Ovis aries: one gene and its partners. The protein of the gene in region 2 interacts with the protein of the main gene of each other region in a pairwise test. Links are inferred from orthologs where the notes say so. Each region holds a gene or a part of one and is shown on either strand. Other genes may lie near its edges.

Region 1 (4,334 bases), on a different chromosome or scaffold from region 2:
GGAGGGATCCACATGACCCCCAAGTCTAGGCTGTGAAAGGCAGTGTGACTTCCACCAGCCGCCATGCTGCGAGGAAGCACAAGCCACGAGGCCAGGCCACGCCAGTGTTGCAGCCACATGTGGGCGGCTCAGCCCAGCCACCAACCAGCCACAACCACGGGCGGGACCAGCCAGACCTCCAGGCTGGGACAGGTGGTTAAGTAGCACTGGCTGCTTTGAGAAGCTGACTGCAGAGGTGGCTCATCACACAGCAGCAGTTAACCAAAACCCCTGGCCCCTGGCAGATACGTGGTCCCACTGGGCCGCCCAGCACCTCTCTGCTGACTGACAGCCCATGCCGCACCTGCTCTGGGCTGGGGCGCAGCAATCAGCAAACAGGTTCTGCCCGCCAGTCTCGGCAAGTCACCCACCCAGCTGGGGACACTGGCCAACAGCAGATGTGCAGGGTACTGAGGGGAGAAAACAGGGTGGAGGCCCCGCGCCAGGGGTGAAGGAGGCTGCGTGGCTGTCTCCACGGCAGCCAGTAGGGCAGCAGACTCCACCGCACAGTGAGGCCCCTGCAGGTGCAGATGCCACAGGGAGATAGGAACCAGGGTGGAAAAGGGGCGGGGGGTCCAGAGAACAAGGCCACTGGGCTGCAGATCACAGGGAAAAGACGCACTTTACCCTAAGGACAACAAAAAGCTGTCTCTTAAGCACAAGATACGGACAGTGGACTCAGCTTTTTAAAGATTAAGTTGGGATCCACAAGCAAAACAGTAAGAAGCACCCCACCTTTTCTCAGGGTGCTGATGGCTATCTTGGTGATGAGAAAAATCAGCACTCACTGCTTGGTCAGGAATCACTATTTGTATTGGCTCAAGACAAGAACTGCACAAGGCTCAGCCTCTCTGTGCAAGCATGGAGCCAAGATCTTATGGGATCCCAGCTCAGAGACTGGCCCAAGGCAGCCCAGTGTGAAAGGCTCCAGAGACAGGGGCAGCCTCCCAGGCAAAGGCCAGCCGTGCTCACCACCACTGACATTTGCATACCTGCGGTCCCTCACTGCCAGGCCCTCAGGGCCTCCCACTGAGTTGGCTTTCTTTTTAAGAAACCAGCTCCAATTCACCCCAAACTGGACACCTGGCAGCCCTGACAGGGCAGAGTCAACAGCCAAACCAGGCACCACTCAGGGCAGGTTGGTTGGGGAGTTTGTCCCACCCACCTGTCACACAGGGCTACCTGCCTGGCCAAGACTGCTGGCCCCTGAGGCAGACACATACATGGACAGCCACGCCCCTGCTGGGCTGTCAGGAGACCTGGCTTCTACCTCCATCGCACAAGTACAGCCACTGCCCAGGAGGCTTGTCTCCCCAAATGCCCTCTAAGGAAAGAGAACTACTCTGGAAGGGCCCTTTGGGTCCAGCCACCAGCATATAAGACAGGAATGGGCTGGGGAGGTCTGGCCTTGCACTGGTATGCCCACACCCTCTTTGGCACAAACGCAGGGCCTCCTGCTGCCCCTGCGAAAGTCACTAGTGGGAGAGAATTGGCCAGTTCCACCTCCACAACACCCACCCACTCAGCGCCAAGACATACAGCCCAACGTGGCTCCCCGATCAGGCCAAGCATCCCAGGACCCGGGCGGGTGTCTGCTCCTCTCTGGGCCTGGGCAGCCTCACCCACTGCGTGAAAATCACTTGCTGAGTCCAGGGACCTGCCTAGAGTCCCCACACTGACCGTCTGCGCTAAGAGTCACGTCTGCTGAGTCCCTAGCAGATGCGTTATTCATTTCATTCTCCCTAGAGCCCTAAAAGGTGAAAGCAGGTTCGCACTGCTTTATCCAACATTCCAAAAACCCTCAAAGTGAAAGTTTTTCATCTCTGGTTCGACCCGCCACGAAGCTACCGGGTGTCTGGATCTCGACAATCCCAGCTGAGTTTGCTCAAGCATCACAGCCCGGAACCCCACAGATCTTCAAATCCAAAACACTCAACTCCAACATCGGTCCGGCCCCAAGGATTCGGGGTCTTGGGCCCGCTTTGCGGACAGAGAGAGAAGGCTCCGCGAAGCAACTTCAAGCCGCGGGAAAAAGCAGCCCTCCGGGCCGGGCTGACCCCAGGTGGGAGCTCGAGTCCTGCCCGGGGTCCCGGGATCCGGCAGGAGCGCGACTCCGCGGGACCAGCGCCGGGGGGTGGGGAGTGGGTAGGGTCAGAGGGAGCAAGATTCCGCGAGGTCAGCGCCGGGGGGTGGGGGCTGGGTAGGGTCAGGGGGCCGGAACGGGCACTACTCTGCACGGCGAGAGCCGCGGAATCGGGGGTGGATAGGGTCAGGGGGCTGTGGGCCGGATGGGGCACGACTCTGCAGGGAGAGCGCCACGGGGAGGGGCTTCAGCGCCGCTGGTGGGGTCAGCGGGCGGGGGTCCGGTGAGGCAGGGTCCGGTGGGAAAGCGCGGTCCGCGAAGTTGGCAGACGCGGGGCGGGCGCCGGGGGGGGGGGGGGGGGGGCGGGAAACTGCGGGCGCGCGCCCCCTCCCCGCCCCCGCCACCCCCGCTCCACCCCGCGCCCCCGACCCCCGCGCCGCACATGCGCACTGCCGCCCGCGATGTGGCACCCGGGAGGGGGGGACCGGGGCCGGGGGCGACTGACGGTGGAGCCCCGCGCCCCTCGGGCTCCGACGGGAGCCGTACTGCGGCTCGGCTCCGAGCCCGGGCCCGGGGCCTCGGCGCCCGGGGCCCCTACGCGGCCCGGCCAGGAGGCGGGGGCGCGGGCCGGGGCGGGGGCCGGCTCCCCCGGCCCGCTCACTCACCTCCGCCATGGCCGTGTGTGCGCGGGAGGCGGCGGCCGCGCCGGGATCCCCGGATGCGGGGCCACGCGCTCATTGGCTGAAGAGCCGGGGCGGGCGGGGGGCGCCTGGGCGGGGTCGGGGGCGGGGCCGGGGCGGGGCGCGAGCCGGCGCGTAGTAGGTGCGCGATATGGGATGCGCGGGTTTCCACGGACCTTGGCCTCGGCTTGGAAAGTGGTGGCACCCTGGATGGAAGTGCCGATTCCTGATAACCAGAGCTTAAGCGCGGGTCCCCAGTCCTCCTTCCAAGCTATGGTGCCCCCCCAAGTGTTACAGCTGAGGACCCCGAGCCCCGGAGAGACGACCCCCCTCCTTAAAAGGACTTAAGTCTGGGCAGCGTGGTTCTAGAACTTTCCGCACGTTTGTACCAGTGACGACGGATCTCACTGGGGGCTTGGAACCCGAGTGCCCACTGTCAGCAGGGGAGGTGGAGCCCAGCCCTTCCGCTGGCTCTGGACCTGTTGTTGTCATGAGTTGTATCTAATCGAGGAAACATGGGCCCGAGCTGGCGGCGAAGTGCGTGAACAAGAGGGTCCAGACAAGGATTCCCCATACCTTGTGTCTCAGAGATGTGCTGAGGGAGGGCATCAGGGTGGATGGTGTAGACAGAGAAGGCAAAGCAGAGACTAGGATGGTGACTAGAGCAGAGGTGGACGGCTGGGGAATATGGGCAAAGCAGAGAGGAGGCACACAGGTTTCAGGCTCACACAAACCAGGAAGAATGGATGTGGGGGAGACCTAGGATTCAGCCCCGGTCCTTTTCAAGCTGACTTTGATAGCAGTGTCAACTGCTGCTGGATGCTTGATGTAAAAGCGCTAGCCCAGCCCGGGGAGCCTACCAGCCAGAAGAGAACAGGTCTTAGAAGACCTGCCCTGCTGTCTTCTCTGTATCAGTCACAAGTTACATGAGTCATGAGCTCCCCACTCACATTGGTGTACATCATCCAGATTGAGGGTTCAGGCCCTTGGAGGGAGGGTCCTCACTGATAAGGGGTAAGCTTGGTCAATCAGTCACTCAGTGTCCCCTGCAGCCCTCAACTGGGTACGGAGCAACTAGAGGTCCAATGAAGTAGGAAGGTAAACCAACAAGACACAGTGACAGTGGGGCTCTGTATAATCACACGTGACAGCAACAGAGGGAAAGGGCTTGAGTAAGCCTAGGGCAACAGAGGAGACTCCTTGGAGGGAGCTTTAACAAGAATCATCAAAAATGAGGGACAGGGAAAGCCTGGTGTGCTGCAGTTCTTGGGGTCATAAAGAGTCTGACATGACTTGGCAACCGAACAACAACAGCAGCAGACGAAGGAATGGAGAGAGCGATGTGTTCCAGGTCTGAAAGTTTCTTCCCCTGTAGTATAAGCAGCAGTCATCAAAGCAGCATGGTATCAGCACAAAACAGGCATGAATCAATGGAACTGAACAGAGAGCCCAGAATTACACCTCCATCTATGGTCAGTTAATCTTAGAGGAAGCAAGAAATGGAAGAAAGTCATGAAATTAAAAGACACTTA
Region 2 (3,421 bases):
TAAAGATGCTAACATGGAACTTTTTAAAGGCACAATCTAAAAGGCAGGAGTCAGGAGGGCAGCTGGAGGCAGGTGAGTATAAGTTCGGCCTCTGGGCTCATTCAGTCTGGGTCCAAACCCTAAAACTAAGCCTCTCCTCCCAGGAAGCCTTTATGATCCAGGGAAAGCTAATTATCTGCTTTATTTCTGTATTTCCTCCACGGTGCCTGCTTCACAAGGCTATTGTGAGGATTAAAGAGAGAAAATATATGTAAGGGTTTAGTACAAGGCCTCTCTTAGTGCCCACAAAAGACAGCTATTATTTTTTAGAAAATATGGAAAATGTAAGAGGGGCAATTACTCTAAATATCAGCATTTGTTATTTCTATATAATGTGATTATGACCCCTGTTTTGGTTTTTGCACTTCTACTTGTCAAAGCTTTGATATGAACTTGTGAATTCCTTCCTGAAAATAAAACTATGCCCTTTACATATTTATGAGTCATGATGAGTACTGACATCCCCGTCCTATTAGATGAAATAGTTATATCTGTATACTTTGTAATTCCCATTCCAAACCCATAATATTCTGTTAAGAAGATAAAGTACACTTTTTCCATGAATGACTGTATCACAAGAATCTTTAATGTTTAAAGTTTACTCATGGTGAGGTTGTATCTGTGTTTAGTAAAGTGTGCCCACATTGAGTCTGTTTCAGTTCACATCACCAAACTCCACAGGGATGTTTCCCGTGCCCAGGCAGAGCACAAAGACAGGGGTCAACTTTTCTCTTGGTTAGGCCAGCTTTTCTGGGGAGTTTTTCCAAACTCTGCAAGACCAATTTACCCCAATACACAGCCTCCGTCACACGTAAAAGAATATGGAAAATGCCTCAGTGTATTTCATAAGTTTAGCATGTCTCTGGTACAAAAAATTCAAGAAAGGTAGCACAAAAGCGAAAGCACCAACTGAGCTTAATTACAAACAACCATGCATGAATCCTATACACTAATATTACTGAAATGAACACAACATTGCATTAAGAGGTATAAAAGCACTGTATGGAAAACTTAAAAGTTACACGTGAAATACTGCACTGTAGATCCTGAATACTCTAACGTCCCACACTCCCACCCTTCCTCCACCCTGGTGAGGGGCAGAAAACTTCCATCTGCCTCCAGACCTTGCTAGTCCTCGGAGACACTGTTGCGGGGGCAGTGGGCAGTGGGGTGGGCCTCCCGCAGGGCTCTAGCCTCTTCCAGAGCCTCCCTGTAGCGGGAAGGCCAGGCCTGGGGGTTTTTCTTAAAGACCCTGGCCAGGAACTCCATGATCTGCATCTTGGTGATTTCGCGGCTGGCACGGGAGCCCCAGAAGAACTCGTACTCAGGGGGCTCGACATGGGGGACGCGCTGGTACTTCAGGTAGTTCTGCTGGACGAACTCCTCGGTGATAAGCTTTCTCACGTCTCCGAAGGTGGAGTGTTTCTTCCAAGGCCTCAGCCCCAAGATGCGCAGCACGTTCCAGACTGCACTCTCTCGAGCGCCGCGACCCTTCACGTAAATGAGGCTCAGGATCATCAGCAGGAGGCCCGTCATCGGCATGCGGTTGCTCAGAGCGACCCTGTCCAACTCCTCTGGCTCCAGAGCTTTGACCAGCGAAAACTCCATGGTGTGCAGGCTGGTCAGCCTCAGGTGCAGCCCGAACACGCGTGCGAGGATGAGGCTGGTGCGCCGAAGGATGCTTCTGCACCACTTCTTGTAACTGCCGATGACATCCTTCACCATGTCTGGGAACCAGATGATCATCCTCTTCTGGTCCTTGACCAGCACGTACCACATGAGCTCGTGTGCCTTCTGCACCAGCTGGGCCGGGGCCGGGGGCGCCGGGCTGAGCTGACTTGTGCTCGGGGCCTGGTGGGGACGGCCTTCGTCAGCGGCCTGCTGCAGGGCCTTCGGGTCTCCCTCTTCGCCTGGAGCCTGGGAAGGCAGCGAGACCAGAGGGGCATCAGGCGGGCTTAAGGGAGGGCGCTCTGGCTCAGTGAGTGTCGCGGCCTGAGACCCCGGAGGAGAGGGCCCCCCGGTAATGCCGGGGCTGCCGTGCACCTCGGAGTTGGAGGCCTCGGCCGCAAAGTTGGGGTCGCACACATCCTTACTTTGTTCGGACATATCTGTTCGGTCTCGCAAGAGCAGGGCCGCCGAGTCCGAGAGCTCTTCGAGTCTGCTTTCCCTCCGCGGACTCCTGGAGAGGAAGTGCGCATTGCTGCGCGCGGCGCCTTCCGCAGAGGCCAGGCAGGGCGGGGCGGCGGCGGGCCGGGCCAATGCGCCTGCGCGTCCGCGCGCCTGGGGCCCGGCAGTCGAGTTGGCGGGCGGGGCTCCTGGTGGGCTGCAGGAGGGGGCTAGGAGGCCCCCAGTAAGCATAGAGGGTCCGCTAGAATATGGGCCTCAGTGATCACACCCCCTCCCCAGGTATCCTGTTATGGCTAAGGAGGAGTTCTTGAGGAGGAGGGGAGGGAGATGGGTGAGCACTGGACAAGGAGTCAGTTTAAGGGACAGATGGCAATTTAAGCTTCTGAAATGCTGAAACTGAACTTTCTTAGGAAGCATTTGATTAGGTATATCCAAAATCAAGTTAGAGATCAATCCAAGAGTAAGAACTAGGCTGGTGTGTCAACTAGGTTTCAGATCAGTGTGAGAATTTAAACTGAGAGAACAGCCAGGATTGCCCAAGAAAATATGTCAACTCTGAAAAAGAGAAGTCGCTTAGTCATGTCCGACTCTTTGCGATCCCATGGGCGTAGCCTACCAGGCTCCTATGTCCATGGGCTTTTCCAGGCAAAAATATTGGAGTGAGTTGACATTTCCTTCTCCAGGGGATTGAACCCAGGTCTCCCGCGGTGCAGACAGACAGTTTACCCTCTGAGCCACCAGGAGAACTAATTGGACAAATTGGAATTCTGAAGAATAACAACAAAAATTCATTGATTTCCTACCGTATGGAAGAGTTTTGAACAAGAAATGCAGAATGTTGTCAATCCGAGTGTGATCGAAGTTCTCTTGAAGGCAATATAATAATGACTTTGTTAGTGTTTTAATGGTCATTGATTTTGGTTTTTCTATTCCATTGGATAATTTTGATGTAAATTTTGTTTCATTAGAATCCCCTCACACAAAGATTATATTAGCATAGACTCATAGGATGTCTTTCCGCCTGTTTTTCCAGGACCTTCCTTTTCTTTATGACTGTTTCAACCTCCGCTTTTCTTCCTGTGGAAACTTCACCTTCTTAGAGCACAACATCCCCATCTTCCACAGATACTGAATAGTATCACATGCAAATCCCTCCCAAGATACTTTTTTTTTCTTTTTTAAATTAACCTAGATCCCCAAAATTTTCCCAGATAACAATTGATTTGAGATGTAACAATTGGTGGTTGTATATCAG
Region 3 (4,164 bases), on a different chromosome or scaffold from region 2:
GCTTTAGGGCTACACATGGGACCGGGAGTTCTTCAAGAAGCTGCTGCAGTCTGGGAGGCAAAGAGAATGCCCACTGACTGGGCCCAGACCCTGGCAAGGGCTGTCCAAAGGTCCCACATTTGTGCCAGAAGCTGCTGAGAAATGGAGCAGAACTGCTAAGGGGGTGGACTTGGTGCTCCGATGAGGGGCACTGTTCACAATCATTATAACAGGAGAGCGAAGCTGCAGGGCTGAACCATGGAGTTCAGACACGCTCATAATGGAATATGATACTCGGGGCAAGTTTATGTTCAGAATCACATGCACGTAACGACGACAGAGCACCTGATGCTTACACATCCCATGAACACTGCCTTTCAAAGTCAAGTCTCTGAGGACTCACGGGCTTGCCATTCCATGAGGACTACTTCTAGAACTCCCTGCAGAGCTGGATCAAGAGGTGATGAGATCACCTCCATCTCAGTCACAAGCTCGTTTCCTCCCCAGAAGGTGTCCTTCTGACTTCACATTTTCGCCAAGATCAGCCCTAATGAATCAAATGCACCATCACTGAAAGGATTCTGTCTTGTTCAGTTAGTCAAATATATGTTAATCCTTCCTAAGTGGAAGGCCCAGCTTCTACTGTGGGGAGAGGTGCGGACGTGATGAAAGTATGTGTATCCAAGTGCCTTTTGAGAGGTCGTCCAAATGCTTACTAGCTTCCAGTGACACCCACAAGACACATCTTTTCTATTCCTTCAGGATCTCTCTAAAGGTTACCAGTCTAGACAGGGAATCCTAAAAATGTCTGAGCAAGGTGATTATTCTGCCAATAAACATATTGCCATTCTCCTATCTCCTCTCACTGTCAGAGTGAAAGAAAGCTTAGAGGTCTCAGGAATCTTGGACAGAAAGCCTTGACTATCTTTTCTCTTTGTCCTCTTCTTAGAAAATGAAAATTACCATAAATTATGACTGTAAGTAATATGGAGAAGAAAGTACAGTAGGTCCAGGAGAAAGCTCTGTGCCAGCTTTGGGTCAAGCTGAATTTGTCTAGTATGATGACAGTTCAGGTTTTTTTGAACAGCTTTACACATCCTCGGTAAACTTAATATGCTCCAGTGAGAAAAATACCTATCAAAAAAACTACCCCCTTTTGGGACTTCCCCAGTGGTCCAGTGGCTAAGACTCCATGCTCCCAATGCAGGGGGCCCAGGTCCGATCCTTGGTTGGGGAACTAGATCCCACATGTTGCAGTTAAGAGATCCCATGCTGCAGCTAAATATGACACAGGATCCCGAACTGAGCCCTGACACAGCCAAACATGAACAAAGACAAACACAGACTGCGCTCAAGGCCAAAATGATTCTTAAAAATTGTACTTAAGATTAAAAAAACTTTATCCCTTTCTGTAGGTTTGGAAATGTTTGTAGATAATGTAATTTCTTCAACTCACTCAAGCTACTCTGACCAAAGACCCCAGATAATAAAACCTTTCACCACCAGAAAACTGGATCATACATTCCAAGGCAGCATGGGTATAAACGTGAAATGGCCACGTTGAGTAGCTGCCTGTGCATATTCAGAGCCTCAGTGGAAGATGTGAGGTATTTCCAGGGTGCCCACCTGTCTCCCAGAGACCACACCAGTTCACCTGAGGTGATGGGGGGCCACTAGCATTTGCTCAGGATGGTCTTCCTTCACAACGCTTACAATTTCCTGGGAGCATCTCTACCTCATGGCCTAGTGTGCGTTCATTCAAGGTAAAGCAAAGGCGGGTGGCTTTCTCTTTCCCTTTTAGAAAGCTCTGTCAAGGGCTGCTGCTGCTGCTGCTGCTGCTGCTGCGGCTAAGTTGCTTCAGTCGTGTCCGACTGTGCGACCCCATAGATGGCAGCCCACCAGGCTCCCCCGTCCCTGGGATTCTCCAGGCAGAAAGTCTAAATTATCTCCCAGGCCTGCCATCACGTTCACTAGCCAGAGAAGGAGCCACAGATTACTCGTGGGAGTGGGGGAAGACACAACACACGCCTTGGCAGATGCCAACAGCAAGTGGTAAGAAAAAAAAAAGAAGCAACACCACTTCAGCAAATATTAAAATCCAACGTCTCCTGCGAGACTGCAGGTACAATGGGTTCCTGATTCCAGCTGCACCACGACACTGCCTGGAAGAGCTGAAGGGCAAGGAAAAGTGCGCGAGTGCACACACTTTCCTATGTGCACATATGAATGCATACGGATGTTTCCACAGCTGCATTTGTGGATTGAGAATGGCTTTCAATTTGCAGCCTGAAATGTTAGCTAATTATTTAGAAATAAAAACATGAAAACAAAAAAGTTGGCTTTAACTTCAAAGCAATTCCGAAGCGCAGCTTAAGAAAATTACTTTCTTAGCTGAAAAAGAAAAAAAAAAAATTGTGGCGGGTGGATCTCTAAATTGGCCGTATTTCCAGCATCCGGGCCCGTACTGGGACGCGGGCTCGGCGGCCGGTCTCCCGCGCCCCCGGTGTCCACACGCACACCGTCCACCCCCACGGGCTGCCCCCACAACCGCCCCGCCTCCCGGAACACGCCCAGGCGGCCCCCCCGGACACCCCCCCGCCCACCACGCCTTGGAGACGGCCGTTACTCCACAAGCTGAGACACCGGCTGAAGCGCGGCTCCACGCGCCCCACCCGCGGCCGCCCTGAGCACAACCGAGACGGCAGCCCCTCCCAACCTCTTCCGCCCGGCCCCGAGGACCAGAGCCGCTATCCTGACTGTGTCGGGAGACGCAGACAAGCAGAGTCCCGCGGGGTCGGCGCGGGCTCCTCACTCCACTCGCCGCTCGAGTCCACCCGTGCTCCGTAGCCCGCGGGGCCTGGTTAGGCAGCCGCCTGCGCGTGCGCACTGCGGCCCGCCAGGCCGGAAGCGTGCGCGGGGGCGCGTCCGCGCAAGCACAGCAGTCCCGCCAGGCGGGGTTGGGGGCCGGGGTCGTGGGCGGGGCTGCGGGCTGGTCCGGTCCGCGCACGCGCAAACGAGCGCTCCCGGGAGGCCCTTGGGCACCGCGCCACTTGCAGGGCCGCCTGGCCCCTGGAGCTGCGCGGCTGAGCACGTGTCCGCGAGGACGGGGGCAGCAGAGACGCTGCAGGTTTTAACGCGCACCAAGAGACCTGTCGTTTGCACTTCATTGTACGTTTCACAAGCAGCAATGCCCCGTCTGTTCCGCCTCCTCCGTCTACTGGAGAGAGACACACATAGCTACCGCTACGTTAGAGAAGGCCTTTAAAACCCCGCACACGGGCCCCTCCGCGGTGCGTCTGCTGGAGCCACGGTAGACCCCCGCCTGACACCGAGGGTTCCCGAGACCCGAAGACGCGGTCCTCGTGCTTAGACCGCCTACGAGCTGGGCAAGCCCTCCCCTCATGAAGCAGCAGCGCTGTGTGCGACTGACGGGTGGGAGCGCGCCCTCGGTGGCGCCGGGTCAGAGCCGACGCCTGCGCGCGGGCGGGAGACGCTTGCAGACCCCAAGCACTGTCCTGACTGTCCTCCCGCAGGGCCACCAATCCATGCAGCATCCCTGCCTGCCTTCCCCTCATCCTCCTTAGCAATTCCGTCATCTTCCCACTTTACCTTCTATTGAATACCTTTAATCCTTTTTGGTATAAGGTGAGGATATAAATTTAAAACAGGTTTGCTTACTCTGAAGTGAAAGTGAAGTCGCTCAGTCGTGTCCGACTCTTTGCGACCCGTGGACTGTAGCCCACCAAGCTCCTCCGTCCATGGGATTCTCCAGGCAAGAATATTGGAGTGGGTTGCCACTTGCTATTCTGGGAATACCGTCATTTCCACTTTAAATACGGCCCCCAAGCTCACGGCAAACCATGCTTTCATTTTTTGATTGCTTGGATGACAAGCCCACTAAACCGCATACGTCAAAACCAGCTATAATTTAGGTTTAGGAAAGCAGCAGGAAAGAAAACATATACATCAAGCTAAAAGAATAAATATGAATCGAGAGACAATAACCGACTTTCACGGCAATATTTTTTTTTACAGAGGTAGCAGTGTTCCATACACAGGACACTGGAGATAGGAAGCCTTTATTCACCAGAAAGGCTTATTTATGTTAAAGCAAGTTATATTTGGATTAAAACAGGTCTGTAATATTTTAAGCTTTCAAAGTTTCAACTGCTTTCTCCGTATGTG

What was found.
Region 1: the proteins of NDN (region 2) and MIER2 interact in a two-hybrid assay, tested with the Homo sapiens proteins (2 studies listed by BioGRID and IntAct). The link is inferred for Ovis aries from reciprocal best matches to the Homo sapiens genes NDN and MIER2.
Region 3: the proteins of NDN (region 2) and EEF1AKMT1 interact in a two-hybrid assay, tested with the Homo sapiens proteins (2 studies listed by BioGRID and IntAct). The link is inferred for Ovis aries from reciprocal best matches to the Homo sapiens genes NDN and EEF1AKMT1.

Annotation. Positions count from the first base shown.
Region 1 is NC_056058.1:40,733,133-40,737,466, forward strand, and holds the start of MIER2 (mesoderm induction early response protein 2), read right to left. Parts: upstream 2,839-4,334; 5' UTR 2,797-2,838; coding exon 2,788-2,796; intron 1-2,787. UniProt on the Homo sapiens protein: Transcriptional repressor.
Region 2 is NC_056071.1:620,127-623,547, forward strand, and holds NDN (necdin), read right to left. Parts: upstream 2,234-3,421; 5' UTR 2,146-2,233; coding exon 1,168-2,145; 3' UTR 604-1,167; downstream 1-603. UniProt on the Homo sapiens protein: Growth suppressor that facilitates the entry of the cell into cell cycle arrest.
Region 3 is NC_056063.1:36,035,204-36,039,367, reverse strand, and holds the start of EEF1AKMT1 (EEF1A lysine methyltransferase 1), read right to left. Parts: upstream 2,839-4,164; 5' UTR 2,696-2,838; intron 1-2,695. UniProt on the Homo sapiens protein: Protein N-lysine methyltransferase that selectively catalyzes the trimethylation of EEF1A at 'Lys-79'.